Oryzias latipes: one gene and its partners. The protein of the gene in region 2 purifies or fractionates together with the protein of the main gene of each other region. This does not show direct contact. Links are inferred from orthologs where the notes say so. Each region holds a gene or a part of one and is shown on either strand. Other genes may lie near its edges.

Region 1 (6,056 bases), on a different chromosome or scaffold from region 2:
CCCCTCCCGTTGCAGAGCAAAGCAGGAAACTTGTAGCCCCCCCCAGTGTATTTTCAACATCACAAACAAGTCTATTTCTAACGCCTCCTGCTTCACAATGACTTGAATAAAGAAATACTCAGAAATGTAATTTTAAGCTTAATTTTCATATTATTTGTCCTCCATCTTGAGAAAAATGAGAACCTGTTAAAATGACCAGAAACCCCATTTTCCATCGGAGTGGGTCTTTAAGCCAACTGACAGACACATGAGATCTTCAGCTACTATTAAATCTATTGACTGTTGCTGTAAAAACTGTGTTACGGTGTGTGTTTCTCTCAACACGCCTGACAAATGTGTTGAACTTAGGCTTTTATAAACTGTCTGGAGCAGCTGAGCATGAAAACGGATGGAGACATCCAAGTCTCTCAGTGAGTATCTTTTTAAAATGATCTTTGAGATGATTGTGCTTTAGGGAATGATTTTAAAGTTGTTGGTTTGTCTGCAGCAACATTTCTGTAGATCTGTCCTCTCCAGACCGCTTCGCAGCCGCCCACGAGGACTTCAGTCCAACTTCAGTAAGCAAAATGCCGTTTCTCTGACTTCCACTCAGCAGTTTGGGGTCCACAACTGACAGGGGCCAGAACAGCCTTTGACACATGTTGACGAACGCGGGCGGCACACTCGTCAGAACCACAAACCTTTATCTGTCTGTTTCCTGGTTGTGGACACGCAGCAGCTACGTCCTCATTTCCTGTAACTCGTTTTGAGAGGTTGGTGAAGGGGGTTAAGCGGTGGGGTGGAGGACGGGGTGGAGGAAGAGCAGGGTATGAAGTGCTTCTGGTAAAGGGAAATGGAGCAAGGTGCAGACGGGGCTTCCCCAGCCTGAATGTGTGCAGCGGGAGTCAGGCAGCCGAGCTCGACTACACAGCGCTGAAGACCGGTGTGAACTGAGGGGTCGGAGCGTTGCTCGATAGGGAGGTGCTAAACACGTAATCTCTCTTTTCTGTTTTCGTGTTCGCCTCAGCAGAGGATAAACAAGGTCTTTCTAGTAAAGTAGAGAATTTTTCAAAATAAAGCGTCAGCCCTGTATGAGTGTCTGTGGGTTTGTCCTTCATTAAAATGAGCTTTTGTGTTATTTTGTCAATTATCATTTTTTTATGTTGTGGTTGAAAGTATACAAGTATACAAGACAATAGGGAAGATTTGAAACTATGTGATGATATTGTACTGTTATGCAACCCGAATCTGAAATTGTGTTGATCTGAAAAAACACAAAACAGGCCTTGAAGCTGCAAATGCATTGGTCTCTGCTTCCGCTCCTCTGAAGAGCCAAAACTGCTGTGAAGCTCTCCACAAATGTGAGCAGGATGTAAACATACAGTGGTGGACAAGATTGTTGGTACCCCTCAGTTAAAGAAAGAAAGTCCACAATGCTCATTGAAATGACTTGAAACATTCAAAAGTAACAATAAATCCAGAGTGGACTTCATGGGAGGTGACCAAGGAGGACACCACTGTTGAAAGGAAATCATAAAAAAGCCAGACTGGAATTTGAAAAAATGCATGTTGACAAGCCACAAAGCTTCTGGGAAAATGTCCTTTGGACAGATGAGACCAAACTGGAGCTTTTTGGTAAGGCACATCAGCTCTATGTTGGTAGACTCAAAAATGAAGCATACAACGAAAAGAACACTGTCCCTACTGTGAAACATGGAGGAGGCTCAGTTCTGTTTTGGGGCTGCTTTGCTGCATCTGGCACAGGGTGTCTTGAAGTTGTGCAAGGTAAAATGAAATCTTAAGATTATCAAGGCATTCTGGATAGAAATGTGCTGCCTAGTGTCAGAAAGCTTGGTCTCAGTCGCAGGTCATGGGTCTTCCAACAGGACAACTATCCAAAACACACAGCCAAAAACCCCCAAGAAAAGCTAAGAGAAAAGCGTTGGACTATTCTGAAGTGGCCTTCTATGAGCCCAGATCTGAATCCCATTGAACATCTGTGGAAGGAGCTGAAACATTCCATTTGGAGAAGACACCCGTCAAACCTGGGACAACTGGAGCAGTTTGCTCATGAGGAGTGGGCCAAAATACCTGTGGACAGGAGCAGAAGGCTCATTGACAAATACAAAAACTGTTTAATTGCAGTGATTGACTCAAAAGGTTGTGCAACAAAATATTAAGTTACGGGTGCCATCATTTTTGTCCAGCCCTATTTCATTAGTTTAAACAAAAAAAGAATTCTGTTAATCAACAACTCAAAAGTAATGGCTGATTTTGATTATCAAATTTTCAATAAATTTTAATTTATTGTTACTTTTGAACATTTCAAGTCATTTCAGTGAGCATCGTGGACTTTCTTTCTTTAACTGAGGGGTACCAACAATTTTGTCCATCACTGTACATCTATTTTAGGTGTGGTTCAAATACACGCATAGGGATGTTATTTTATATTCTCTAATACAGTCAATGGTCCACCCCTGCTTACCCCATCCTTACCCCTGAAAAAGGAGGGATTGAAATAGACTTTATCACTTATTTTCATCCCCCCCCCCTCATCTCAGAGGTCTTTTAATTATTTTATGCCATTTTTAGGCAAAGTCTAAAAACCTGTGTTAGTTTCTAGGACATAGTTTCTGTAGAGCAGCAGTCGTTCATTAGAAACTCTCCTCTGAGTTGTGGGTGGGACCGTTGGCGTGAACCAAACCCCTTCCCTCCCGGTGGCTGAGAGCTTTAAGCAGGGAGCGTTTGGCGTATTTTCTACAGCTAAAAAAGCTAATTTTCAAACTTCATTTTTTTTTCTGTTCCTGATTCGCAACGATTTGAATAAAGAAATACTGAGAAATGCAATTAATTTCTTTATATACATGTCCTCCATCTTTAGAAAAATGCCACAGACACATGTTAAAATACCAAAACACCATTTTCTGCAAACTAGGTCTTCAAAAACATGTGATTATTTAACAAAACGAGTTTGTGCTGGAACAAGGTCTTGGGCTTAAATTACAATCTAACTTTTCCTTTCTTTTATGAACAGGAGCAGCGTTTGCTGATCATTCTGAGCAACTGCCAGTACCTGGAGAGACGCACCTTCCTGAACTTGGCGGATCACTTTGAAAAGCACGGCTTCACGGGAACAGAGAAGATCACGCGGGTCAGTACCTGCTGCTGTGACCTGCAGCTGTTACACTCCTATTGAGGAGAAGTGTGGAGGCGTCATGAGAAGAAAACAAACTACAACAACTAAACTGATCTGTGTGTTTTTTTTCGTTTCTCAGCAAAGGGATGACTAATGAAAAGAAAAAGTCACACTTTTCACCTCTGTTCTCAACATAGTCACACTGCTGCACACAATGACTAATGGCTGAATCACAAAGCTAAGAAGGGTTTGATCTGTTGATTTTCCTGTAAAAACTCACTTTATTTGAAAGATTAAGTTAAAAGTTTGAATTAGACCCGAAAGCATGATGCCTATGATAATTTGTCTAGACTGCTGAGCTGTGCTGCTCCACATTAAACACATTTAACGGTAAACAAGAAAAAGAAGAAAGTATTGAAGGGTTGTACCACTGCTGCACATGCTGCCTTTACAGCATTATTAATAGGAGCTGGTGTCAGAGCAGCATAAATAATGCTAGCAGCTGCTCACAAACACACCATGTGACCAGTTCAGATTGTGCTAACTTATGTAGTGTGCTAAGTTGGTTCTTTTACTCTTTGTCTCAGTCTGGTTTCTTTGCAGTGTTACTCCAATGTCAGATTGAAGGATATACAAGATTTTAAAAAAATCCATCTTGATGCCTGAAAAATTAATTTAGGAGGGTTTAGACCTATTATTTATAAATAAAAATTGGGGGGGGGGGGGGTCTATTTCAATTAAGCCTCAGTTCAAACCATTGACTATATTTGAGAACTGGACTGAGTGACTCCTCCCCCCTTGCATTCCAAACAGGAAGTACCTGCTGGTTCCAAGAAGCTAGACTTTTTCAGAGAAATAAACGGCTATTGCTCAATCATTCCATTTGTAGGAATAACCGTTCTTACTCTGCTACATTTTTTGCTAATCCTCTTTATTTACCATTATTATTATTCTTTATTTCAAGTTATTCAAGTATATTCACTGAACAATCAGATGCCTCAATGAAGGTATGCGTTTTAAGTCAATTGTTTGAAAAGTTTGATTGACAGATTCTACCAAGACCACTTTCAAAAGATAGGGGTGTGACCTTTCAACAAGCTTACTCCTGGTTGGCAAGAGTGGTCGCCATAGAAACGATGACTCAAACTGATTTGGACCAATCACTGCTTACTTACGATTTCTGGCTCCAACATGGCAACATCTACATTGCGAAAAAATGGCGACTGAATTGACTTCATTTGGTTGGAGCCAGAACAAAGTCAGTCCAGTTCTCCTTTATAGTCAATGGCGTAAGCCAACTCTTTCATAATATTTAATTCCATCTCTCTTCCAGCCAAGAATTAAGCTGATGGCAAAGAAAAAAATAGTCGATCATAGTATTAAACCTTTTTTCTTTTCTTTTTGAAAATCTTTGTGTTTCTCCACACTGCAGAACAACACAAAGAGGAAAAAAGATTCATAATAACACATTTCAATTTTTCTGCTTTAGGTTATGCTTATGGATGTGTTTAAGACCCAGGTCTGGATGTCACTTTGCTCCTCAGCCAAGCATGTCAAAGGATAGTAAACATTAGATCCGTTCAAACAGAATCTCTCTGGAATGAAAGCATAAGTACTGCATTCTGCTGCTCTAAAAGTGCAGGAATGGATCCAATGTTAAACGGACATTTAGCACACATTTGTTTGTTTGTACATTTGTTCACACTGGACTGTCACTACCCATACTAGCGCATGTGCCTAAAGTTGGAAGAGGCTTGGTTCGAAATGTCAAAGCCCTGCAAACCTTATGAATCTTGCTACAATTCTCACAGTTCTATTCTGAGATATGAAAGACTTGCTGTCATAGAATAACGGCTGAGCCCAACGTGCAGCTGTTAATTTCTCTTCCACGATCAATTTTCAAACGTTGGGCACTTCCGTCAATTAAAGGGATGCCATCCATGCGTCACTACCAAATCAGAGTCTCTGATTGGTCAAAGATCAAACTTGTTTAACTTTCAACATGCTTTTGATGACAGCATGTTTTGTACATGGAGCCTAAAAACAGTCCTAAAATTGTGCGTAGCGACACATGAATGCTAAAGTGTTGAACACAGATGCCCTAACGCACATATATGTGCGTTTACAAAGACTTTTCAATGGAAGTGATCTCTTGAACGTGTTGCAGATGGCGATGTAAGCAGCTTAATCCACTTTTTATTCTTTTTAATTTCTTTTTTACTTTCCACTTACAAGGTCATGTCCAAAGAAATAGATGACAGCAGCCATCTTTCTCTTTCCCTCCTCGTCCTCCAGGTGAGCATGGACGCCATCCGAGAGCTGGACCGGAAACTCTTTGAAGCTTACATCGAGCGGCGTGCCGACCCCATCGCCGGCTCCCTAGAGCCTGGAATCTACGCTGGATACTTTGACTGGAGGGACTGCCAGACGCCGTCAGGTATCACCTGATGAATGCCAGGAGCCGCGTTTGAGACCATGAGGGAAACCCCCACCATCACCACTCATTGACCCAAGGAGCATGAGAGATCAGCCACCAGCAGACTTGTTTAGTCAAAACCTGGTGACTTTGGTCTCTTCAGCTCAGTTGTGGTTAGAGTGTGTCATGTATGAAGTACAGCTCTTTGAAGCCTTACTGTAAACACTGCTGAGTTCATGCTCTCGCTCTTCTTCCTCAAGCTCTCACGGCCTTTTCTGTGGAGGTGTGGGTGTGAAGTAATTTTTTACTTTACATTGACATTTCTCCCTCAAGCTTTACAAACAAAGGTGAAACTTTAATATGAGTGTGCGGTTGAACCTAACGCAGGATGTGAAGCAACAAAACAGAGCTAGTGAATCTGTCAGAAAGGGCTACGGTTTAGCCTTTTTTTTTTTTTTTTTTACCTTGTCTTGACAACAAAAAAAAGTGTGAGCCCCACACAGGTTTGTTGCTTCCTCTGAAAGT
Region 2 (5,689 bases):
GCTAAGCATCTCTTACTGTGGTGTACTGGATCATGACATTGTTTTCATCCTCGGGCCGGAAATCTGTTTTTTTCTGCTCTGTTGCCAGGATGTGCTTCATTTGCCCCACCATACAGTTTAGTGTTCTGTGCATAACAAAAACATATATTATTGGTTTCTGTTAAAAAACAAAATAAAAAACAAAAAAGTTGATCAATGGCTTAAAAAATAAATAAATAAAAAGAATCACCTGTCAATTCCAGTGTCCAGTTTTACTTCCATCTGTTCGATCACTTCTTTCTTCTTCTGCAAGCACTCTGCCAGCTTTGGAGATGAACTGAAGACAGGTTTAGAAAATTTAATTCAAAGAACCCCCCCAAAAATAAATAAATAAATAAATAAGGTAATTTGAAATCTGAGTATGCATAACAAACAAAGATGATAATTCTTAACCACAACTGACCTTATAAGAGGCATCAGCTGGTCATTAAACTGCTTGTCAAACAAGTGGAAGATGGAGTTTGCCTGTTGAACAACATCCAGGAAGTACAGGTTGGCATTCTTGGCATCGGATGAGGGAATCGCTGAAAATTTAGGAAAAATGCAGCAAACGCAAACTTAAGCTATATTGATCATTAAATGTTAATGCTTATCGGCTAGTGAAAAAGAGATTCTAGCTCTAAAATGTTTCTAGCTCTTCATTATTGTGGGAGATCCTCAGGTTATGCTTTATTTAATGTCCCAACTTCCTGAATCTACTGCTTTGAAGCTCCTAATAGTGAGAAGAATGAGCCCTCAGAAAGCAGTTTAAGAGTACAATTTGGTTCATCAGAAGTACCTGAAAGGCCAATCTCCAGAGCGTAGTCGATGTGGTCCACACACAGATGTTCAACCAGCAGTAGGAAGATGGAGTAGGCATTTTTAGGCAGATCAGATGGATCTGAAAGCTGTAATAAAACAAAACAAAAAATCACCAAAGTCTGCGTTTATACATGTTCCTTCACGTTACAGAAGGAGAAGAGGCTCACCCTGTGACACCTCTCAAACGCGTGCCGAGTCTCCTGCAGCAGATTAACAACCAGCTCGGGGGACAGGAAGGTCTCTCCATGGGTGTCAAGGCTGGGGCCCAGTGGAAGGTTGGTGCGCTGTCTGATGCGCTCCTTGAGCTCCTGAATACTAAAGTAAAAACAAAAAAACGTTTAGCATTTTGATCTTTTTGTATGAAACCCTAACGTTTATTTGAGACCAAAAATGGCTCTTTAAATGATACCACATTTTCCTTGTTCTTGTTTTTTTTTTAAATTATATTATTAATTATATTATTCTTAGTCTTTTCTCCTGTCAGTTGTTATGGTAACGAACAAATTTCCCACGTATGGGATCAATAAAGTATTTCTGATTCTGAAATGCTTCATGACGTTTATGCTAAATCGTACCTGCCAGAGCCTATTGCACGTTTCTGGTGATTCTTTGAGTCATAGTATCGTTGCAGAATCATGGCACCTCGATTACGAAGGTATTCCCTTTCCATGTCAATGTAACTTTCCAAATAAGAGGAAAAGATGCTTTTTATCAGCTTGGAAAGGAACGTATGCTTGTCTGAACCAAGGTTGAACTCTGTTAGCTTGGTAGCCAATGCTGTGGTCCTGAAAGGTCAGAAAAGAAACAGATAAGAACAAAAAGTGTTAGAGTTATAGAGCATACAGGAAGTAAATTAGAAAAAGACAAGCAAAACCACCTGGTGTAAAGGTCATAGAGGTTTTTGAGGTACTGTTCTGCATCAGACTGTCGAGTTCCATCCAGTTTCTCTCTAACGTGCGCCTGTAAAATAAACAGCCAGCCAAAAATCAACAAATGTTTAAGTAATGGCACATCCAAACTCAATCACTGGAAAACATACCTGTAGTTTGTTTTCAAAGATATTCTGGATGAGTTTAGCCATGACTGTCTCTGGACTGCTGAAGACCTCGGCCACCTGCTTGTTGACCCTCTGGCAAAGCGCTGCGGTGTCTTCAAACACATCGTTCCTCGTGTAGGCACCCTGAGACAGGAACAACAACAAAAAATGGGTCAATTAAAGCAGCCAAGTCAAAGGCAGACTTTTTTCTTGCCAAACTTGAAGTACTCACTTCCTGACACTGCTTGATGTAGACGTCCACGCAGTGTGCATAACCCTATTTAGACAAACACAGGCGTTACCACCTTGATAGTCCAAGAAAATGACTATAACATTCAAAGTTGATGTTTTCAGACAGGCTATGACTCCAACACTCAGTCAACGTGTCTTCAGATGTCTTTTCCAGGTCACCTTGAAATGTAATAGAACTGCTGCAACCTCCCGCATACGACCAATCTCACCCCTGCGCTGGGCTGCAGTAAACTCCTGGATTAACTGCCTCTCCAGGTCGTGGTATTTGCCTGGGCAGGAATGAAAACAGAACCTTAAAATGTCGCAAACGCGTGTTACATCGTAGTAAAAATGGAGGACGATCGACCCGGTCAGAAACTTACTTGCAATTTTTGCTTTGACATCTGCAAATCTGTTACAGATAAAGTGCGCAATTAGAAACAATAGATATAAAAAAAACAGAAGGAAAGTTTCTTTGGGGGCATCTTAGTCAATAATACCATCTAATGCTTAATGTTTCTGTGGGGCTTACACTTTTCAGGAATAGACTAATACACCTCCTCCTTCTTGTTTGACAGCGCTCTTGTCTAAAGCTGCCTCCAGGATGCCTGACTCACCTGTCAAATGGCAGCTCCTGGGCAATGAGATGCAGCTTCTGAATTATATCAGCAGCTTCCTTAATCTGAAAGAGAGGGAACAAGTGTGTGTTTGAGAGGGAGCGAGGGAGATGCCAGCTGAGGGAGGAGGAGAGAGGGAGCACAACAAAGCCATTAGAGGTGGACATCCATTATCAAGTGGGCGGCCGCCGGCAGTGTCTCCACTTGGGGGATCATCATCTTAGAGCAGCCTTCCTCCACCTTCCTGTGTTTAACAGGGAGCTGATAACAGACAGGCTGCGCTCACCTGGGCATCAGCAGCAGCAACAGCAGCAGTCCTGACTTAGCAGCACATCCAAGTCTTTATTGGGATGGCTTTTTCCTGAATGGGCTGTAATCCCACAGGAGTCTGAATTGCCTTCAATAATCTGTCCGGCCAGGGATATCTGTCTAAAAAAAAGGGGGCCCTGCCGAGATACCCCTCCACCCCGCCCTCTCCACCTCTCCTGACATACATGCTGGCGAAAAAACCTCCAGACCCGCAAAAGGTCCGCTGTCCGCAACTCCTCTGTTCCTGCAGATGCCTGTCTCAGCTAACATCATTACTCTGCTCCCGTGAGGAGGATCCAGCCTTTCTGCTCGGCGAAGGTTTTCTAAGTATCTGTCCCCCAGCTAAGATTAGCTAAATCCCATGTAAGTAATGTAGCCGTCTCCCTGCAGTCAGGGTTTAGCAGCACTTGTCTCCACGCTGGCGGCCCAGCCCTCCCTTTCAGAAGGATTAGCAAAGCCATTCCCCTTCAGCTATTCACTTGCAGTTTTTCTCTTTCCTCCTCATATGGAGGTATGCTCAGGAAAAAGGAATCTGGCTTGATACATCTGCATGCATGGCTCAATCTCAAGCTCTCGTCTGTGGGATTGACCCTCAAACCTCCCTCTCTGCATCTGGTTGAGATGTTGCATCAAACACACATAAAACCCAAAAAAAACCCCAATGTGTCTACTTTGCAGAATCAAACTCTCTGGGGTCACTTGTTCTGAGAAAACATTGAATCATTTTTTCCATGACTAAAAAAATGTGTTGCAACAAACTTTCTGTGTGTTGCAAAGCTGACCAATCAAATTCTTGATCCCAGTCATCCCACTTTACATGCAATTAGGTTTGACATGAGCGTGTTGACATCCATGCTAGTCAGTCAGCCGGCTATTGTCAGACAGCAAATGACAGTTTATTAATCCAAATTAACTGAGGGATCCAACTAAAGGGATAAACTTTATAAATTTCCATGGATGGTTCAACTCATAATCCTGTTCAAACTCACCTACAGCAGTTTCCCAGCAGGGCCCCTCATCAGTGGTTTCACACCCACACATACCTCTTCATATATGACAGCAAAAAAAAAAAAAAAAAAGAAACTAGACGATAATCTCACCTTGTCTGGGTCATTGAAAACATCGCTACGCAGATCTCCATCCAAAAACTCGTTAAAGTAAGTCATGAGACGCTGAGCTTCCACGGCCCTCTGGCGAGGAGTATTCACCCCCTCCAGCTGGTCACCTAGGTGACAAACCTTGGTGGCAACGTAGCTTATGTGTTCATCGAGTTCTTGGAAATGCTGAAAGGCCACCTGACATGACACAAAACGAAGATCTAGCGGTTAACCAAAGAGAATAAAGTTTGTACGATGTTGTTTTCTTTCAGCAAACAGACCTGGTTACTCCTCTGGAGGTCTTGCACTTTGCGGGCAAAGTCCTTGGCCTCTCCATGACACTGATCCTCTAGCTTTTCCACCTTTCGCTGAATCTTCTCATCTAACTGCTTTAATTCTTCAATGTGGCTTTTAAATTCATCCAACAGCCTAAAGGAAGGAAGAGTAGGAAGAAAAATTAAAAATACTATAATTGGGTAAAAAAAAACACATCACAATTAAATAACAAAAACAAACAAAAAAACTGAAAAACATGCACGAATCCCCCTAATTCAAGAAGTAATTGGGTATCAGAAGGTAATACTTGGTGTATAGTTACAGTTTAGGGGTACAAAATAGTGTCAAATACTTAATTCATGGGTCCCTAGACTTAAGAAGCTCTAAAAAAAACTCTCAGCTTCGTCAGCTGCATTTTAAGTGCCATTAGGATTGCGGTGCAAATGTTCTAAGTCAGCACCACTTTTCAGAGAGTGGGAAACATCCTGAAACGATGAGTGTATAATCTTCTAATTCCTTCAGCACTAGCTACAGCTTAGACGTCTCCCATCCGCTCCCAACAGACACTCATTCCCTGGCTGGTGACTCACAGTATGGTGGCCTCGAAAGAGATGTTGTCTCTGACTCTTCACTGAGAGCTTTCAAAGAAGTGGTAAAAACAGTTTGTGTTGGAAGTAGATAAGTCAGGACGGGTCTACAGCAGAGTTAAATTGTTATGGCAGTTTTGCTTACGAGAAACAACTATGCTCCCAAGTGTAAACATCATAACCACACTGGAAAAAAAACACACACACTAAGGATAAGTAAACATAGTCATTACATAGTTTTCTTAAAACCATCAAAACTCTAAATTGGTGCTGGGAAGCCCAATTTAAGTTTAACTAAACTGAAGGAAAGTTAACATAAGTGCTATTTCTGTCAGTCATAGTGCATGACTATGACATTTTATAAAATGTCATCTATGACATTTTATCAAAAGAAATTCATAAAATGTTTACAATTTTTGATTGTCTGAGAGTAACAAAGATGGCAAAACAGATGAACACAGAAGTAAAGATCAAAATGATTTGTTTGAAATCTTATGACAGAACATCTGCTAACATTATGCTAAAAAAACAACAAGAAGAATTTAACACATGCTCAAAAAAATACAGCTTTTATTTTCACTCCTCAACAAAAGTTAGACAAAAAAAAAGAATAAACTTTTTTTCCTCAGGAAAGCCACATTATACAAAAGGTGAACAGTGTGACGTTAAAATAAGGTCTGCTTAGGATACCAGTTC
Region 3 (6,056 bases), on a different chromosome or scaffold from region 2:
GGTCAAAATCGCTGACTTGCTTTGGTTGATTTTAAGACCAACCTGGGATCCAAATCGGCTTAGCCGGTCAGTCTTGTCTTGCATATGTCGGTGAATATGAGAGATCAGTGCCAGATCGTCAGCAAAGTCGAGATCCTCGAGGGTGGAGAAGAGTGTCCATCTGATGCCAGTTGGTCCTGCTTCAGTCGTGCGCCTCATCACCCAGTCTATCACTACGTTGAAGAGGAGAGCTGACATCACACATCCTTGACGGACTCCAGTTTTCACTTCAAACCAGATGTCACTTCCTCCCACACAGCATCTATAGTTGTTATAGAAGCTTCTTATCAGTTTTATCATGTGGGTCGGTACTCCATAAGCCCTCAAGATTCGCCACAAGCTGTCTCTGTGCACACTGTCAAATGCTTTTTCAAAGTCTATAAAGTTAACGAAGAGCTGCTGCTGCCATTCAGCACTTTGTTCTATTATGTTTCTCAGAGCAAAAATCTGTTCCGTGCATCTTCTCCCTTTTCTAAAACCGGCTTGTTCCTTCCTAAGTATTGCATTCACAGCTTCCGATAACCTATTGATGATTATCTTGGCCATAATCTTGCTGGGGATGGACAGAAGGGTGATACCACGCCAGTTGTTACATTCGCTGAGTGTGCCCTTCTTTGGAATTTTGATGATTACACCTTTAGTCCATTCTTCTGGTATGCTTGCTGATATCCAAACGGTTTTGAAAAAAGGTTGCAATATTTTTGATGCTGTTTCTGTGTCCGTCTTGAACAGTTCAGCATTCAAATTGTCGTGACCTGGTGCTTTATTGCTTTTCAGTGACTTGATAACTGAGACAATTTCCTCCTTTGTTGGTGGGTCTGTGTTGATGTCTAGGTCTGTCTTTCCTTCTGGAATATCTGCTCCTTCTGTTGGTGGATCTCTGTTCAAAACTTCCTGAAAATGTTCAGCCCAGCGGGTATCTTGTTCTGCTTCTGTTGTGAGAAGCTTCCCCTGTTTATCTTTAATTGGTAAGCTGACAGTAGAGTGGTGTTTTCCACATACTTGTCGACTAATTCTGTACAGCTGGCCTTGTTCTCCTCGGGTTGTAGCTCTTTCTGCCTCCTCAGCAAGCTCCTCAATATATGCTCGTCGATCGGCGCGCACCATTCATTTTACTGTCTTATTGGCTTAAAAAGCAGTGGCTACTCAACACAAAAAAGCTGAACCTTACGGTAAAAGGAGAAACTGAGATGGTTCGTTCTCCAGCTAATATGAGATTCTGCACTTATCTCTGTGTCTCCAGGTTTGTTTCTATTGGTTTGCAAAATTCCAGGCAGATTCTCGCCATTCTCCTCTGTCATTTGGCAGGAACTGTCTTCCTGTTCAATATTTCTCTCTCCTGTCCCCCACTGTAGCTAAAATCTATCAAATTCTTGACATGAGCAGGCTGGAAAGGAAGAAATGGATGCCTGGCACTGACTTGAAATTTGAATTCCCTTTGGGTGCTCGTGTTTGTGTATCTGCCATGATGTTTTCAGACAGACAGGTGGTGGGTGGACGTCTGCAGAGCTACACAAAGGAGCAAACCTTGAGATGCCAGCATGGCTCCTGCAGTCTCGTGGAAGTCCAGCAGCTGCTGCAGGAACAGAATGGCCTGAACGGAGACAGAGAGCTCAAACAAGCGGCAAATAACCGGAGAGGCAGTGCAGAGCAGAAACCAAGCTTACGTTGCTGGTGAGCTCATGCACTGTTCCATCTTTGGGCATGTTGTACTCTTTATCAGGATCATTCTGTAGTTAGTGGAGAGAAAACCCATGTAAATGACCAGCAGCCAATAGACAAGGGGTGGTTTAAGTGGGAGCCGCATGCCTTAATGCTGTCTGCAAACTCTTCCAGTGCTTTGGCTCCAATCGTCTCCATGGACGTGATGAGCGTTGGCAGTTTGTTCTTGGTGCTCGCCGCCGTTCCCTGCACGTCAAATCAAGTACAGTCGCTAAACACCCCAAGACCAGCTTCTTCCAGAAATGAGACGCCGCAGACCCAACCTGAAGTGTGGAGTCAAAGTCTGACTTGTTCATCTTCAGATGTCTGAGGATGGGGAAGATGGTGAGCACCGCCGAGTAGTCGTGGCGCATGATGGCCCTGCGAGCTGCAGACACAATGTTGTCTCCTTCCAGCATCAGGTTGTCCAATGCTTCCTGTGGACAGACATGATGAAACTGAGCATGCAACCAGAATGTGGCTTAGGGAAAAATGTCCTGCTTTTAATCATTAAAATCCTTTCAGCCAGATAAAAGGTGTCCGTGTCTATGGTAATCTATGGTATCAATGGTCAGATACGGTGAAGAAAAACAGTAAGAGTGACTAAAGAGTTTTTAGCGTCAACTGCTCATCTACTGGACACTCAACCAACAAACAGAGAATGACCTAAAAAAGGAAAAAAACTGGATGGTTGATGTCAGCAATCAGAGGAGAATGAGGTTTCAAATTTGATTGTTGCTTTGGTTTATTTTTTCTTGACTGTGGAGTTTCATTACTGTAGATGGTAGGGAAACCTTTAGCAAATGACCAACACCTGGAACCTCAGGTGGATGTTCTACAGAAGCTTTACTTTCAACAGCAGCACCTGATTAAATCCTCAAGAGCCCTTCCTGCATATCTGATGCTGTACTTCTGCCCGGTGATTACAGATAAAAGGATTGTTGAATACTTTTGTGTCACTACGTCTAACCCCTAAAACCAAATTGTCTGGGAAATCCTCAATGAAAGCTCCCTGGTTTGACTCCTCTGACCTGGATGAGGGAGTCAAAGGTCTTCTTCTGGTGGTGTTCAGGGATGATCTCGGTCAGCAGGGCGTACTCGCTCTGAGCCAGCTTCACAAAGGCACTGATGCAGTGGATGTAGGAGTCGATCTCGATGTCAAGAACATCGTCTTTCCCTAAGAGTTGCATAACAAGAGCTCCCGTCAGCTGACAAAACATAAGACAAGGATCTAAACAACAACTTCAGCCCGGAGTTTAACTTCTTACTTTATAAGAACTTGATTGTTAAAGGAAGAAACTGAGCTGAGGTTGCCTCTCTGATCAACCTCTGAACTTCTGGAATTCGTCACTCACCTGGGGCAGCCCCATGCTTCTCAGTCAGGGCCTCAGTGATGTGTTTGACCCGTGGGTCATGATCGTAACCTGGTGGGTGGGGCGGGCCAGCAGGGAGACTAGTCAAAACGAGGTCAAGACTAGGCTAAGAGGGGGGAGAGGGGACAAACCTGACCTGAACCGCCCACCACCAAGCACCAGAGAGAAAAGGCAGGGCGTGCCCACCCAAGATGAGTGAAATGTAAACTGGTTCTGAACCAGTCTACATGTTAAACTGTGGGACAAAAACCAGCTTCAAATGTCACAACAGCTTTGGATTCATTGCAGCTTTTGACAGATTTCCTGATGGGAAAATGGGAAAACCCCACGTCTGACACCAGTTTATCAGTTGGATGGGAGTTTAAGCAGAAAATGAATTCTTCTTTCCTGATAACTTCCCGACCCGACTTGATTGAAAGCTATTAATGGGAGAAAGGTCTCATGTGTTCATGGTCTACCGGTGCGAAGCCCATTGAGACGACTGTTGTTTGAATTTGGGCTCTACAAATAAACTTGAATTGAATTGATGCATAAATGAATCAATCAAAAAAGACATTTTAAAGAAGTAAGAGGTCAGATTTGGGTGCTTGTGCCACTTTTGACTTTATCTTCATCATATCAAACCTTTTAATTTCATTACTGATGGGATTGCTGGTTAATCTGTAGGTTTTCTAAAAACATGTCTTTGTGGGGGCAAAGGACGGAGTGGAGACTGAATTACATTGGAATAATTGAACTTAACATTGTTGGTGTAAATGCATTTATTTTGCATTTTTAGACAACCTAATATTCAAAGCCGGGTCAACTAAAATAAAAAATCCGTTTGAACTTTATTAAAAGAAATTTTTTTAGCAGAGCCAATTGACTTCAAGTGAGGTTTGTGTTAAAAACGCCTGAAGACAAATGTTTGCTTTAAAGCAGTGAAGCAAAAACATATTTGTCAGCCACAGATTCCTCAGGTCGTCCCTCTAAAAAGCTGAGTTTGGTCTGAGATGTTCATCATAGAAACACTTTAATGTGAGAGACAAAATGTAAAGAAAGAATGCAGGAAATCACAATGTCTGATCTTTAAATAATGATTGTATAATGGAGCAGAAAATAAGGATTCATCTAGAAGCCAGCAAGGATTCAGTTCCTCACAGACCCGTTCCTCCTTCTTTAAGAAGCTCTTCTATCCTCCACTGGTTACCTGTGTTCATGTCACCTGTTTGAACTGGTTACCTGTAGAAAAGACACCTGTCCACACCCTTATACAGGCAGACCTCTCCACCAAGGAGCTGTCTGAGGACACCAGGGACAAGTTTGTACACAGTCCAGAACTACAGGGGGAGCCGGTCAACGACCGGCCTGATCCGTATGAAGCAAAAGGGGAATTGGGTCACGTATGGGGAGATTTTGGACAAAAACCTCCTTCCAATAGGGAGAACATCAGGGATGGAACATGTCTGGATCTTCCAGCATTACTAAAAGAATCCCCCAAAGATCACCCAGCAAAGTAAAGAGTGTCTAAAGGATTTCAGGGTTCTAGAGTGTTCCAACGGTCCCTGGACCTCAATCCATGGAGAATCTGTGGAGGGAGTGGTTGCCCAGCAACAGCCCCAAAAACAGCACAGCTCTAGAGAAGATCTGCATGGAAGAATGGACCAAATTAGCAACTACAGTTCAGATCGTCTGAAAATCTTCAGGAAACCTTGTGGGGAACAGGAGCCAGCCTTGTGCTGTTTCTTACTATATAATGTTTTTTTCAACTTTTTTTTACTATTTCCCTGATGAACCACCCACAATGGAACTGCTACTGACAGTTACAAAAAGTCTATCGGTTCCAAACCTTTGACCTCTGTCATTGGAACCACATTACAAAGTACTGAGATGAACTTTTCTCAGTGACTGAACATTTATTTTCTGCTCTATTATACAAAGAAACTCAAACATTGTGCTTTCTGGATTCTGTATTCACATTGTGTCAAAATGTTTCTATAATGAACATTGCAGACCAAAGTCAGCTTTTTCAGAGGGATAACTTGCAGAATGGTTCCGTTCATCGTGAGTGCTGTCCATCATGTGTCCAATGATCTGAAGCGGTACAGTCTAGAAGCTGCTTTGGCCGGCTGTTGGGACTTTGTGTTTGACTGAAACCAGCTGGAAAAAAGAGACAGAGAAGACCAAGGTGCTTTACCTTCCAAAGGAGTGAGGTTAGAACCCCCCTTTTTCCCATCCAGCCCATGCTGTGAGTACTGTTTCAGAAGGTTCTGAGCCTTGCGAATGGTCCCTGGTCCCACAAACACAGAGAAAGAGTCCAGAGGAGAGGAGTGGGGCCAGCAAGGTCCAGACAACCAAGAAACACCAGAAGAAAGAGGAAGAAGAAAAAGAAGCGGGAAACGAGTGTGATGAAAGGCAGACACCACATCCCTCCACCAATGGGGCAACCAGCAGGGTTTGTTTTTGGGGTGGGGGAGAGGGAGCACCACCTATAGCACCAAAACCAGTCAACCCAACAACAGCACTACAGGACTGCTGTGTGGAAACACACATGTAAGAAAGCACACAGGTTAGGTCACAGGTCATACATGAACATCAGCAGATCATAATCAGATGACATCCAGAAAACATTACAGCACGAACGCAGCCTCAGCGCATTGTGGGTTGGTAGGCAGGTGGAACATTTGGAGCTGCGCTCATTCCTTTTCCTTACCTTAAAGTACAGAAATGCAAATGACAAAGCAGCAGACGGCGGGCGGCTCTATCACACGTGCAGCCAATGACAACAAACGTGAGCAACTGGACGTCCGATGGCTTCCTCGCCCTGCATAGCGTTCAAGTCAGCGACGTCCCGATTACAAACAGGACATTGTCCCCCTACTTCGTCCGTCTACGTCCTGATTAATGTCCTGTTTACAAATAGGACATTGTCCCCCTACTGCGTCAGTCTACATCCTAAATACA
Region 4 (6,697 bases), on a different chromosome or scaffold from region 2:
GGACAGCAACTGTAAAGCAGCGTTTGTTTTCAACTGTGCCTTCAGTCTGGAAGATCTGAAGATTGAGCCTCAATTATTATCTGTCCGCTGTAAACACTGTAACAAACTCACATCAACACAACAGCAATGATTCTGTTGATGGGCTTGCACGGTGGTGCAGTGACCTGCGAGGACCTTTCTTTGTGGAGATTGCATGTTCTCCCCATGCATGTCCGGGTTTCTCCGGGAACTCCAGCCCCTTCCCATGCTTCAAAAACATGCTGCATAGGTGCAATAATTACTCTAAATTGGATGGATGGGTGGATGGAGGGATGGGGGGATGGATGGAGGGATGGATGGATGGGTGGATGGAGGGATGGATGGAGGGATGGGGGGATGGATGGAGGGATGGGGGGATGGATGGAGGGATGGACCGAGGGAGGGATGGAGGGAGTGATGGATGGAGGGATGGATGGAGGGATGGAGGGATGGGGGGATGGATGGAGGGATGGACCGAGGGAGGGATGGATGGATGGATGGAGGGATGGAGGGATGGGGGGATGGATGGAGGGATGGACCGAGGGAGGGATGGATGGAGGGGTGGATGGATGGATGGATGGTTGGAGGGATGGAGTGATGGACCGAAGGAGGGAGGGATGGATGGATGGACAGATGGATGGATGGAGGGATGGAGGGAGGGCTGGATGGAGGGATGGATGGAGGGATGGATGGAGGGATGGATAGAGGTTTGTAACTTGAATAGCTTGTACCACCGAAAAAAAATGTATCAGATCCAGAATAGCTATTCTGATCAATTAAATGACAGTAATAGCTGTTTAGTTCTCTATTGAAGTCTATGGGGTTTTGGTTTCTTGGAGCCGGCAGGTACTTCCTGCTGACTCCAGTGGGAGGGGCTAGCGGGAGGAGCCACGCAGTCCAGTCATGTGACCATTGGCTGTAGATGGTCAAATTGACAGTGAAATGCAGTAGTGGTATTGGGCCTGGGCAATACGGGCAATTGCCCGGGGCGCAAATTTTAATGGGGGGCGGCATCCCCGTGCTTGGAAGAAAAGAAAAATTGAGCCAGTATCGGTTTTCTATATTTCACAGACTTTGGAACAGCCTAAACCGACTGTCCCAAACCAACTGAGACTCCTGTCTCAGAGATGGAAAAGAGCAGGGGGTGGGCGCAGGCTGCGAGGAGGGCAGCTTCGACAATGCAACACCTGGATCATCACGTGCCGTTGGATCACTTAGTTCACATTAATAATGTTATTATTTACTAACAATTGTATTTATTTTTATTAGGTGTATTTTCTGTGGTTTAGTTGGTTTCAGTATTTGACATGAAGACAGCAGGTAATGCAGTAAAACAGCTGCACTTTTTGAGATAATAAATAAACAATCAATCATTTGTTTATTAATGTTTTAAGGTTTTTTGGAGGATTTTTACTGTTGGTGTTGCACAAAATTAGGAAAATGGCAAATATTTTGGGAGTAATCAGTGATGAGTTCTATCATTTAGTTTTTAATGTTTTATAATGTTTTATTATATTCACAATAACAGTTTTTAAAAAAAAAAAAAAACACTAATCCCTCTAATCTGTTTCACAAAGACACAACACAGGACATCACACACCAAGAAATTAGCTGATTGATAAAAATGAAGGCCCGTACACACCGGGACGAATATTCGCCAGGCGTTATTCGCCAGCGTTTTTCGCCACGTTTTTTGTGTTCACACCCAGGCGATTTTCGATGACGATGAGTGGAGTGAACATGCAATTTCATTCCCTGACATTAGATGGCGCTTAATGTAAACAGAAATACTCCTGTACACAAGGTGGCGCTGCGCAGCTTTACGCTTCTTAAAGTCGCTTTTCACTCAGAAGAAGAGAGCAAGTATTTACACGCTTGTCAGAATCAAACAAAGAAAACATGAATATTTCAAGCACCAGTAGCTCCAACTGGTGCTTGGTTCGGGGATGTTTTAGAATGTCCGTCATTATTTCTTCGCGGCAGTGTAGACGCTACTTGGCGTCTATCTTCTTCGCTGGTATGTGTGCTCAGCAAGGCAGTTTTGTGTTTGAGCGCCCCCAAGTTGTGTTTTACTCTAACTTCAGACACGTGAGCAAAAGCGCCATTCTCATTGGTCGAGTAGATTTCGACGCGACGCGTCGAAAAAAAAAAACGAACCCGAGGCGTTTTTTTTTTGACGCTTTAACGCGTGGCATTTTTTCACATCGGTGTGCACACTCTCGTTGGTGCCCTTTGTTTAGTCACGAGGGGTTAAACGTCGGCGAAAATCGCCGGCGAAATTCGTCCCGGTGTGAACAGGCCTTGATGCCAGGAGTCCAGCGCTAAAAAAAACGACAAAAGAGCAGAGAAAACGGCATGATTTGATTTATCATTAAAGTTTCCAGACTTTGTTTGTTTTGTTCTGCGGCATGTTCATAACTGTATAATTTTGACAGAATATATTTTTTTGGAGGGCAAAATATTATACGTCATTTTAGGTTTAACTTGATTTATTCTGTATTAATATTCCTGTCTGTTTTATTCATATTTATGTTCAAAAAGTTAAGTTTAAAAAGTTTAAAAGTTTAGCTTTAGTGTGTTCAGTAAATGTTTATCTTGTTTGACCCAAAACCTAAAGCGTGTTTTTAATTTAGGCCCCCTGTGTGACTGAGTTTGATACCCCTTTAATACTAATTATAAAATTCAGGCATTTTGTGTAAAATGTTAAATAAAGGTAGATAAAGATAGAGACAGAAGGATATCGTGAAATTTGTGTATGCGGGGGAGGGGGGGTTACTCGCCCGGGGAGTAAGTCAGTGTAGAACCGCCACTGGTAAAATGGTCACATGAAATCCTTCCAGAGTATGTGCATTAATGCTGAATGTCCAGCAGGTGGCGGTGCTGACGCAGTTACCCCGCGAAATACGGCAAAGAAGAGACGAAGAAGAAAAAGTAGGCGGTTCTCGGAGGCAAATACGGAAGTGACGTCACACAATAGCAAGGACGTTTAAACGGACTTTATTTGTTTTATTTTTCCTAGATTTGCACCCAGAGTTCCAGTTGATTCCGTGACTGTATGAGGTAAGACGGCGCGGGGCGTGTGTGTGGGCCTGTTGGCGGGAGCCAGGCGGTGGGGGCCGCTGTCGGCCCCGGTTAGCTTAGCTGCAACCCCGGAGCCGCGAACACAGCAGCACTCAGCTGCTGAAGAGACATCTAAGCAAACAGAAGTTCCCACCACGAATGTTGAAATTCACCTGAGTCAGGGAATTGGCAACAATTTTGGCAGGTAGAAAAGCAGCACACCAGCTCCTAGCAAACACGAGCCCCCTTCTTGTCTGTGGTTATTTGTGATGTTGTTTTTGTTGACCTAAGGTCAGGGTCCGGGGGGGTATTCCAGAAAGCAGGTTGGTTATGTGAGTTACCACGGTAAGTTTGAGGCTAAGGAAGTTGATAACCTCAGCTTTCGGTTCCAGAAATGGAGGTATGTTTCAGGATATGAAGTTGCCATAGCAACTCATGCTCTGAACATAACCTGGTCTGGAGCAGGTTTACCTGAAGGTTAGTTTGTTTTTAGAGAGGTGAAGCAGCATGGCGTGTCCATTTGAAGATGATTTAGTGGATGAAGAAGCTCAGTAATACTTTTTCCACCATGAGAGGGTGATGAGACCACGTATGGATGTTGGAAAAATAAACTTTTTTACATTGTTGATCTAACTTAATTATTTAATTAATATATATACTTTTTTTGTTAAGTCAGCTTAAAAATAACATGTAGATTTCAGACAGTTATTTTTACTTTCATTCAAATTAATTCAATTAATTAGGTGTAACTTTGGTGCTGCTGTTAGATCGGCACCGCAAGGGATTGTGGGATATCATTCCCTTTGCCTGTCTGGACGGATTTGGGTTTAAGTGTGGCTTTTTGACCCAATGTGTTTAGTTGTTTAGCTTTTTTACTGTGTTTTACCGAGTTATTTTGTCCTACTAAGCTTATGTCTCTCCACCATGAGTGAGAGCAACGGAGAAGATGATGAGTTTACATAGCACCCCTACCAGTTATTACTGTAACGTCTACGACGGAAATTTTTTTAATCAATTTATGCACGCCGTGCATTTTTTCCCCGTCCTTTTTATTGTTATAATAATGAGTAAACCTGCTCCGGACCAGGTTATGTTCAGAGGTCTCTGGAGCAGGTTTAGTTGAAGGTTAGTTTGTTTACAGAGAGGTGAAGCAGAATGGCGTGTCCATTTAATAATAACAATAATAATAATAATAATAATAAATTTTATTTGTTAGGCGCCTTTCAAGAACACCCAAGGTCGCTGTACATAAAAGTGAAAATAAAATAACAGCAATCGAATGCACAATAAAATATACATATAAATAGGCCAGAAATAGGAAGTTATGGGGGGGGGGGGGGGATAGGCGAGTTGGAAAAGATGAGTTTTCAGTGTTTTAGCGAATTGTGAGAGAGACCCAATGTTTCTGAGGTCCGGAGATAGAGAGTTCCAGAGCCGGGGGGCAGAGCAGCTGAATGCTGACATGGAGGGCCACATTTGGCCCGGGGGCCTTCAGTTTGAACACATGTGCACTAGACAGGGTTCCAGAGCAGCTGAATGCTCTGCCCCCCATAGTGACAAGGCGAGCAGTGGGGACATCCAGATGAAGGGAGGAGGAGGATCTGAGGGTACGGGTGAGAATGGCCACATGAACAAGATCTGATAGATATGATGGAGCAAGTTTGGCAGGTAGAAAAGCAGCACACCAGCTCCTAGCAAACACGAGCCCCCTTCTTCTTGTCTGTGGTTATTTGTGTTGATGTTTTTGTTGACCTAAGGTCAGAGTCCGGGGGGGTATTCCATTCCCACCCGTACCCTCAGATCCTCCTCCTCCCTTCATCTGGATGTCCCCACTGCTCGCCTTGTCACCATGGGGGGCAGAGCATTCAGCTGCTCTGGAACCCTGTCTAGTGCACATGTGTTCAAACTGAAGGCCCCCGGGCCAAATGTGGCCCTCCATGTCATTTTATGTGGCCTGCGAGAGCATAAAAGTTTTTATTTTCTTAAAATAAAAATTGGTGTGTATTTATTCATATCTAGGGGGAATTGGACTTGAAATATGGGATTGGGCAACTAAACATTAGGACTTAAACACTGTCAATATAACCTAACCTGACAGGAAAAAATTTAAAAGGATTTATGCTAGAGTAACACGCAAACATGTGTTTTCTATGCAGCTGTAACTGTCACTTTAAAAGTTACAATAAATAAATAAATTAGTGATTTGACATTAAGGAGAAGTTACGTTTATTTTTCATTACATTTAGTTGCATGTATAAGTTATATCTGGCCCTTTGAGGACAGACACTATGCTGATGTTGCCCTCGGTGAAAATGAGTTTGACACCCCTGGTCTAGTGGGTCTAGATGACCCAACTCCCAATGTTAAAGTGCCTAGGATAGCACAAGGGTTACGTAGGTGTAACTTTGGTGCTGCTGTTAGATCAGCACCACAAGGAATTGTGGGATATCATTCCCTTTGCCTGTCTGTACAGATTTGGGTTTAAGTGTGGTTTTTTGACCAAATGTGTTTAGTTGTTTAGCTGTTTTACTGTGTATTGTCTAGTTATTTGTACTGTTATATTTAATTCTTTCTGCACCATGAGTGAGAGGGAGGGAGAGGATGATGAGTTTATTTAGCACCACTACTGCCAGGTGATGTAATGTTAAAGTCAGAGACATGGTATATGATTTCTATGTTTCATGTTGCAAATCGATTTTGTTTTATTTATTTTCTTGTTATAGAATAGCTATATCTGCAGGCTTAAAATTACACATATGAAAGTTCAAGAAGTACAATAAATTAAGATGAAAAAAACATTTAATTGAATAAATAATATGTAAATTTGAGTTGTAAATAAAATATTGAGTTGGATACACGTAAGAAATTAGGTTAAATAAATTTAACTCATTTACCGGTACTTGTTACCAATAGAAGTAATTCATTTAAGTTGGCAAAGTTGGATATGTTTTTTATATATATATATATATATATATATATATATATATATATATATATATATATATATATACATACAGTATATACATATATACATACAGTATATACATATATACAGTATATATATGCGTCACAATGAAAATAGAAATGAGCTAGAAAATTGTGCGTTTACTTTGTCTGTTATTTTTCTCCAAGCAGAAACTCTTTCTTTTGCTGATGATGCAGCCATGTTACTTTTTTGATGGACTTATAATCTTCATTCGCCATCATTAAAATCTCAGACTCCGTCTCACTGAAGTATAGCGCTCTCTTTTGTTCTCCACATGATCCATTGAGAATGTCTTTATGTACCTTCCGTGCACGTGCTTTAACCCAGGGTTACCAAGTCGAGCGTAATTACGCCAACTCATATCCGGTCCTTTGGAACTGACATACCCAGAGTAAGCAAGTTCAGGCGGAATTCAGCCAGAGTTCAAGCTTAAAGTCAGGGTAGTTTGAACATGCTTCCTGGAATACCCCCCGGCTCAGAGACCCAGCTGCTCTGACTGTCCTCAAAACTCAACTCCAAGATCTGCAGCAACTTGCAGATTATTATTTAGCAGCATCAATAACTGTACAAACTTCACTTAAACAATTCTGTGTTTTTCTCTGCAGGTTTAGACTGTGCAGTGTTATTGAATAG
Region 5 (6,056 bases), on a different chromosome or scaffold from region 2:
AGACAGGTTTACTGGTTGTTTATCGTTACGGTACGGTTCAAATGTAGTACAAAAAGGGCGGGGCCTGTTCACACACACTCAAATATTATCAACACACCTGCTAGCCGCAAAAATGTCCACATGTCAACATGCACACAAAACAGATAGTGTTCACGAACGCATACCTATGCCTTTAAACCAACTAGTGTGAAATCTTTCATTCATTCAATCATGCAAACTATTAGTGCAAAGGTGAGCTAACACCTGTGCTCAGGTGAGTGTTTATGTTCTTCTAAAATGGATGGTGGAATGTGAAAAGAAGGAGGAGGAGCGCCCAGCCACCCCCACACCCAGACCCCCGCCGCAGCAGCAGCGGCAGCCGGAATTCCCCCAATGCCACACGGGAACAGGCAGGGAACAACCGCCCCCCGGGCGACCAAGACCGCCACCCAGGCCAGGGCCAGCAGGACCGCCGCGAGGCCCCCAGAGCCAGAGAGCAGGGAGGCGCAGAGGGAAAGAGAGCGCCGCCCCAGCCCAGCCAGGAAAGCAGCCCCCCGCCGCGCCGGAAGAGCCCAACGCAGGGCCCCACCGGAGAGGGACGCCCACAGCCCCAGACGAGCACCCCACCACCACCCAGGAGTTCCGGGCATCCCCCCGCCCCGACCCCAGGTACGAGCCAGGACCCCCCAAGGGAGACCCGCTCCGCACTCCAGGCAGCCACCCACCCGGCCCACGGTTGGTCCAGGTAGGAGCAAGGCAGGGGCCCGCCGCCCCCGCCCAGGAGGGGGGAACCCCGGGGAAAAAAGGGCGGCCCACAAGGGATGTTATAAATATGGCCCGACCAGGCTCGGCCATGTTGGAAGTTTGGCGGGGCCCAGCGCCCAGGGGCAAGGACCAGGACCCACCCCCCAGGGACACGAACACCCCCGGCTCAGGTGTAATATGAACCCCCCCACCGCATGCTTATATTATTGTTATGGTTATTATGAAGCGCCTGTTAGCTCATCATTTTATTTTTTATCCGTGTGGTCAGTGCTTTTTTGCGGCAGAACGAAACCGGAAGAATGGTTAGGTGAAGGCTAACATGCGCTAACAACAACATTTAGCCTGGATGAACATAAAATTGATGCAGGAAATGCCACAATCTGCAGCTTGGCTGAACGTAAATATGTGGGAATAACATAAGCCTTTCTTTTGTCAGGACACGACTAGAAACACAAATCCACGTGTTTGAACGGTTTCTAAGGACTGAGCGGCATTTTGCTTTGAAGAGCTCACACACTGCCAAAAAGCCGCTGTGTGAGATGGAGACGTGGTTCTCCTGAATTCGGCTGCTCGTTCACATAGTGCTGCGGGACAGATGGCAGTCTGTAGCCTCCCTCCCGTAACAAAGCATCCTCCCCGCCCCTCGAACACAAAAAATTAAGTCCGGCTGCGCTGCTCAGAGACACGGTTCGCTCCGTCCACCAGCAGCCGCGCCCCGCGTGCAGGGACTGGACGTCAGGGGGCACGAAGTGCTCTTCCCTGGTGCCCCCCTCGCGAGGGGTGTCGGAGAAGATAGGAAGGGAAAGACAAGGAGCCCGCGGGGCAAGGGCGGAGCGCAGAGGCGTCCGCGGAGCAACGGTGTGACACTGTTGTGGAAGGAAACTTCTAGCGCATGCCGCGCTGATAGGGGCGCTTTAAAGTCACTACTGCTCTCTTTTACTGGTATGTTTTATTAACCAGCCCCTTTACTACCATATTGCTGCCGCGGAAGGAGATAGGAGCTGCTCTCCCGTTCTCCCCTCCTTCCGTTGCAGCTCCCTCCTCTTTTTTAAACATGCACGCGGTTTCAGCACATATACAGTGAGGTCAATAAGTATTTGATTACCCTGTGATTTAGAAAGTTCTCCCACGTTCTCCCAGAAAACATGGAGGGGTCTAAAATTTTTATCATAGGTGCATTTCCACAGTGAGAGACAGAATCTGAAAAAACATTCAGAAATCATGTTGTACAATTTTTTTAAACAATTTATTTGTACATTACTGTGACAAATAAGTATTTGATCACTTGGGTTAAACAACTTTAATATTTGGTACAGAAGCCTTTGTTAACAATTACAGAGGTCAAACGGTTCCTGTAGTTCTTCACTAGGTTTCTACACACTGCAGCAGGGATTTTGGCCCACTCCTCCACACAGATCTTCTCTAGATCTGTCAGGGTTCGGGGCTGTCGCAGAGCAACACGGAGTTTCAGCTCCCTCCAAAGGTTCTCTATTGGATTTAGGTCTGGAGACTGGCTAAGCCACTCCAGAACCTTAATATGCTTCTTACGGAGCCACTCCTTGGTTTTCTTGGCTGTGTGCTTCGGGTCATTGTCATTCTGAAAGACCCAGCCATGACCCATCTACAACGCTCTGACTGAGGTAAGGAGCTTTTTTCTCAATATCTCACAATACAGAGCCCAGTTCATCCTCTCCTTCACACAGTGCAGTCGTCCTGTCCCCTGTGCAGATGATACTTCCACCCCCGTGCTTCACTGTAGGTATAGTGTTCTTGGGATGATGCTCCTCCTTTCTCCTCCAAACACGCCGAATGGAGTTAAGACCAAAAAGTTCTATTTTGATATGCTTCTTACAAGGCTTCTTACTGACCACAAGACTTTCTCCCATGACTCCTCTGGATCATCAAGATGGTCATTGGCAAACTTCAGACGGGGCTTGACATGGGCTGACTTCAGCAGGGGAACCTTCCATGCGATACATGATTTTAAACCATGACGTTTTAATGTATTACTTATAGTAGCCTTGGAAACGGTGGTCCCACCTCTCTTCAGGTCATTGACCAGCTCCTCCTGTGTAGTCCTGGGCTGATTCTTCCCCTTCCTTAGCATCATCGATACCCCACAAGGTGAGATCTTGCAAGGGGCCCCAGTCCGAGGGACATTGACAGTCATCATTAGCCTCTTCCATTTTCTGACAATTGCTCCAACAGTTGTTCTTTTCTCACCAAGCTGCTTGGCAATTGCCCCGTAGCCACTTCCAGCTTTATGAAGGTCTACAATTTTATCTCTTGCGTCTTATGACAGCTCTTTGGTTTTGCCCATGTTGATAGTTAGACTTCTGACTGATTGTGGGGGGGGGCACAGGTGCCTTTATGCAAGCTAACCACCTCAAACAGGTGCCACTAATTTAGAATCATGAGCAGAGTGGAGTTGGACTATTTAAAAGCAGAACAGCAGGTCTTTGCTGATCAGAAATCTATCTGATAATCAAGTGATCAAATACTTATTTTTCACAGTAATATACAAATAAATCGTTTAAAAAAAAATCATACAACGTGATTTCTGAATGTTTCTTCAGATTCTGTCTCTCACTGTGGAAATGCACCTATGATGAAAATTTTAGACCCCTCCATGTTTTCTAAGAGGGAGAACTTGCTAAATCACAGGGTGATCAAATACTTATTGACCTCACTGTACATCCTCAATCTACAACACAGTGTGGCGACCTGAGGGATAGCCCCACCTTAAGCCCCCAAGACTCATGGGAAGTGAGTAATGACCATTTTGTTGTTCAGTTATTTAATTTGTCCAATTACTTACCAGCCCATGAAATGAAGGGATTGTGTTTAGAAAATGCTTTAGTTTTTCACATCTATGTCAACATATTTATGGTCCTGACTGTAGGTGGATTGATGGTCATGTTCATGTATTTTATACCAATTGCAGTTGTCACCTTAACCCCCAGCTTCTTGCTGATGGTTCTGCAAATCATTCTGGTCTTGTGCAAGAGTACAATCGTCGCCCTTTAATCCACTGAAAGCTCTTTAGTGTTTCCCATGTTGGAGAGTTTGGAGTCTGACTAATGGACTGATTCTGTGGACAGGCGTCTTCAATTCAGGTAACAGGTTGATTAAGCGAATCTAATTGGTCTGTGCGAAACAGAACTCTTAATGGTTACTTGGGCATCAAATACCGTACTTATTTCCCTCAGTGAAATGCAAATAAATGCATATTAATTCATTAAAGACATTTTCAATTTCTCACTGTTCAAATGAACCTATCATTAGGATGACAGGCTGTCTATTTTTAAGTAAGCAAACCTTCAAAATCAGCAAGGTATCAAAAAAGTATTTCCTCCATGATTATTTTAAAAAGAAAAGTTCGTACTTGAATTTTTTTTACATGGAAATACAACATTAAATCCACATCTCATAGCAGCTTTTAGATGTCTCTGACTGTATTCTTCCTTTTTTTGTAAACCTCAGCAGAAGTACTGGTAAAGAAGTTCTAATAATGGCGAGTGTGTTACCTGGTGGACAAACACGTTGTTGAGGTGATTGGTGAGGCGGCGGGCAAATGTGTCCCTCAGATCGGTAAACATCTGCTGCTGTTGTTTCACAGACAACAGCTTTTCATGGCCTGAACAGAGAAAGGTGCACAACTTTCCATTCAAACGAAGACAAAAAACAGACGATCACGATAACAAGGCTTCATGTAAATTTACCTGGTCGGAGGGCAACATTCATGCACTGCAGAAGGGCTTCAGAGGCGTTGATGCAGGCCTCAATTCCTTTAGAGGAGGTGAGGTCCCCATCCTGCAGAGCTCTGATGTGTCCCTTAGACAAGTCCATGTAATTCTGCATGAAAAAGTGAGTCAAAGCCCATCTGAGAAACTCAAGCTCAATTCTCTGACACCTCTGGACTGATTCAAAGAATTTGTTACCACTAAGAACTGGATCTCATCCAGAAGTTTGCCGTTGTTAGTGTTGCTGATTTGAATTAGGCGGTTGCTCTGAGAGATCTGGTCCATCTGCTCCTTGACGCTCTGAAGCATTTCCTCATAGCTACTCAGTTTCCCCTCTATGGTGTCCACCTCTCCAAGTGCCTCATCTAGCAGCTGCATCAGGATATTCACCTGCTTCTCTGACGCCATGATGGACTGAATGTTGGCCTAAAAGAGACAGAAGATGAATATTGACAAAGATGATAAATATGGCTCTGAAATAGTTGGTTGTATTACTCACCCCATCTAAGACCTGCAGTTCCTTGAAGAGCTTTTCTGCAAAAGCCTCAGCGTTAGAGATGGCATACTCGCACATCTCCATCATGCTCTCAATGTCCTGCTCCTCTCGGGTGCTGAGCTCCTGGTAGTCATCCAAAGCATCCTCATCGCCCCCTGCGACACTTTGACTCTCGCCACTTGGCACAGACTCTGAATAAACAAACAGAAAAACAAACAAAAACACAAGACGAAGGCTTATAAACATAATCAGAGATTTCAGGACAAACTTAAGTCTCGTCAGTTCTGGGATACCTGAATGTGCACTACCTTGAAATAGTTTTGAAGAAGTACATGTTTACAATGACTAAAATAATCACAAAATGGAAACAACCTACGGTAGTGAGATGAAGACAACAGAATAAAAATGTCTACTTATGAAATAAAACTAGAAAAAAGAATCAGTAACTTCTAAGGTAAAAGAAACTGAACTAGAGCCTTAGTCACATGCTCCCATATGGGGGTTGATCAGTAGAGGTGCTGCGGCTTTTTGGGTTATCCAGGCCCATGAAAGTCATAAAGAGAAGCGGCTGCATCTTAAAGAGAGTGCAGGTTCGTTTGGCAGTTCTCTTGAGGCTCATATCATTGTCTTGTGTGAAGTAAGTGTATTGTGAAGTATTTGTAAGGAGAATGCGAGGTACATGCATTTATGACGCACTGGTGATACAGTCGTACAGTGTACTAAATGCCACACTCCAGTCATTAGTAAGGAGCGAGTACTGGCGCCTTACCAAACGCACACCATTGCAGCACACATTAGGAGTGCAGCTGATATGCAACTGCCCATAGGACACCCACACAAATAACGCTCTAACCATTTAATTTCCTCATTTCTAACAGTCAGGTCGCATGCAAGGAGCACGCACTTATCATTTCTAACAGGCTCAGTGGAAAAGATTCAGGTGGGTTAAAAAACGTGTTGCATAAGTGTTCCCTACAACCTGTCGCCCACAGCACGTCCATAGAAAAAAAAGGTTTACAAACATTTTCTGTAAACGGGCCACTGAGCGGTCTACGATTTTGAATTTTCATTGA

Evidence for each region.
Region 1: the proteins of exoc5 (region 2) and exoc2 fractionate together in Homo sapiens (co-fractionation; 4 studies listed by BioGRID and IntAct, with this or other methods). This does not show direct contact. The link is inferred for Oryzias latipes from reciprocal best matches to the Homo sapiens genes EXOC5 and EXOC2.
Region 3: the proteins of exoc5 (region 2) and exoc7 fractionate together in Homo sapiens (co-fractionation; 4 studies listed by BioGRID and IntAct, with this or other methods). This does not show direct contact. The link is inferred for Oryzias latipes from reciprocal best matches to the Homo sapiens genes EXOC5 and EXOC7.
Region 4: the proteins of exoc5 (region 2) and exoc3 purify together in Homo sapiens (affinity purification with mass spectrometry; 7 studies listed by BioGRID and IntAct, counting the BioPlex papers as one, with this or other methods). This does not show direct contact. The link is inferred for Oryzias latipes from reciprocal best matches to the Homo sapiens genes EXOC5 and EXOC3.
Region 5: the proteins of exoc5 (region 2) and exoc1 purify together in Homo sapiens (affinity purification with mass spectrometry; 4 studies listed by BioGRID and IntAct, counting the BioPlex papers as one, with this or other methods). This does not show direct contact. The link is inferred for Oryzias latipes from reciprocal best matches to the Homo sapiens genes EXOC5 and EXOC1.

The regions. Positions count from the first base shown.
Region 1 is NC_019862.2:21,226,570-21,232,625, forward strand, and holds part of exoc2 (exocyst complex component 2), read left to right. Parts: intron 1-348; coding exon 349-410; intron 411-487; coding exon 488-557; intron 558-3,013; coding exon 3,014-3,130; intron 3,131-5,410; coding exon 5,411-5,552; intron 5,553-6,056. UniProt on the Homo sapiens protein: Component of the exocyst complex involved in the docking of exocytic vesicles with fusion sites on the plasma membrane.
Region 2 is NC_019880.2:12,940,917-12,946,605, forward strand, and holds part of exoc5 (exocyst complex component 5), read right to left. Parts: intron 4,560-5,689; coding exon 4,412-4,559; intron 4,329-4,411; coding exon 4,134-4,328; intron 2,790-4,133; coding exon 2,725-2,789; intron 2,520-2,724; coding exon 2,491-2,519; intron 2,398-2,490; coding exon 2,288-2,397; intron 2,154-2,287; coding exon 2,109-2,153; intron 2,021-2,108; coding exon 1,880-2,020; intron 1,801-1,879; coding exon 1,718-1,800; intron 1,626-1,717; coding exon 1,416-1,625; intron 1,156-1,415; coding exon 1,008-1,155; intron 927-1,007; coding exon 818-926; intron 564-817; coding exon 443-563; intron 317-442; coding exon 230-316; intron 126-229; coding exon 17-125; intron 1-16. UniProt on the Homo sapiens protein: Component of the exocyst complex involved in the docking of exocytic vesicles with fusion sites on the plasma membrane.
Region 3 is NC_019877.2:22,401,888-22,407,943, forward strand, and holds part of exoc7 (exocyst complex component 7), read right to left. Parts: intron 5,383-6,056; coding exon 5,290-5,382; intron 3,165-5,289; coding exon 3,096-3,164; intron 2,918-3,095; coding exon 2,772-2,917; intron 2,178-2,771; coding exon 2,025-2,177; intron 1,948-2,024; coding exon 1,849-1,947; intron 1,770-1,848; coding exon 1,707-1,769; intron 1,634-1,706; coding exon 1,567-1,633; intron 1-1,566. UniProt on the Homo sapiens protein: Component of the exocyst complex involved in the docking of exocytic vesicles with fusion sites on the plasma membrane.
Region 4 is NC_019875.2:4,992,988-4,999,684, forward strand, and holds the start of exoc3 (exocyst complex component 3), read left to right. Parts: upstream 1-2,946; 5' UTR 2,947-3,078; intron 3,079-6,669; 5' UTR 6,670-6,697. UniProt on the Homo sapiens protein: Component of the exocyst complex involved in the docking of exocytic vesicles with fusion sites on the plasma membrane.
Region 5 is NC_019862.2:97,159-103,214, forward strand, and holds part of exoc1 (exocyst complex component 1), read right to left. Parts: intron 5,175-6,056; coding exon 4,987-5,174; intron 4,914-4,986; coding exon 4,686-4,913; intron 4,600-4,685; coding exon 4,467-4,599; intron 4,382-4,466; coding exon 4,272-4,381; intron 1-4,271.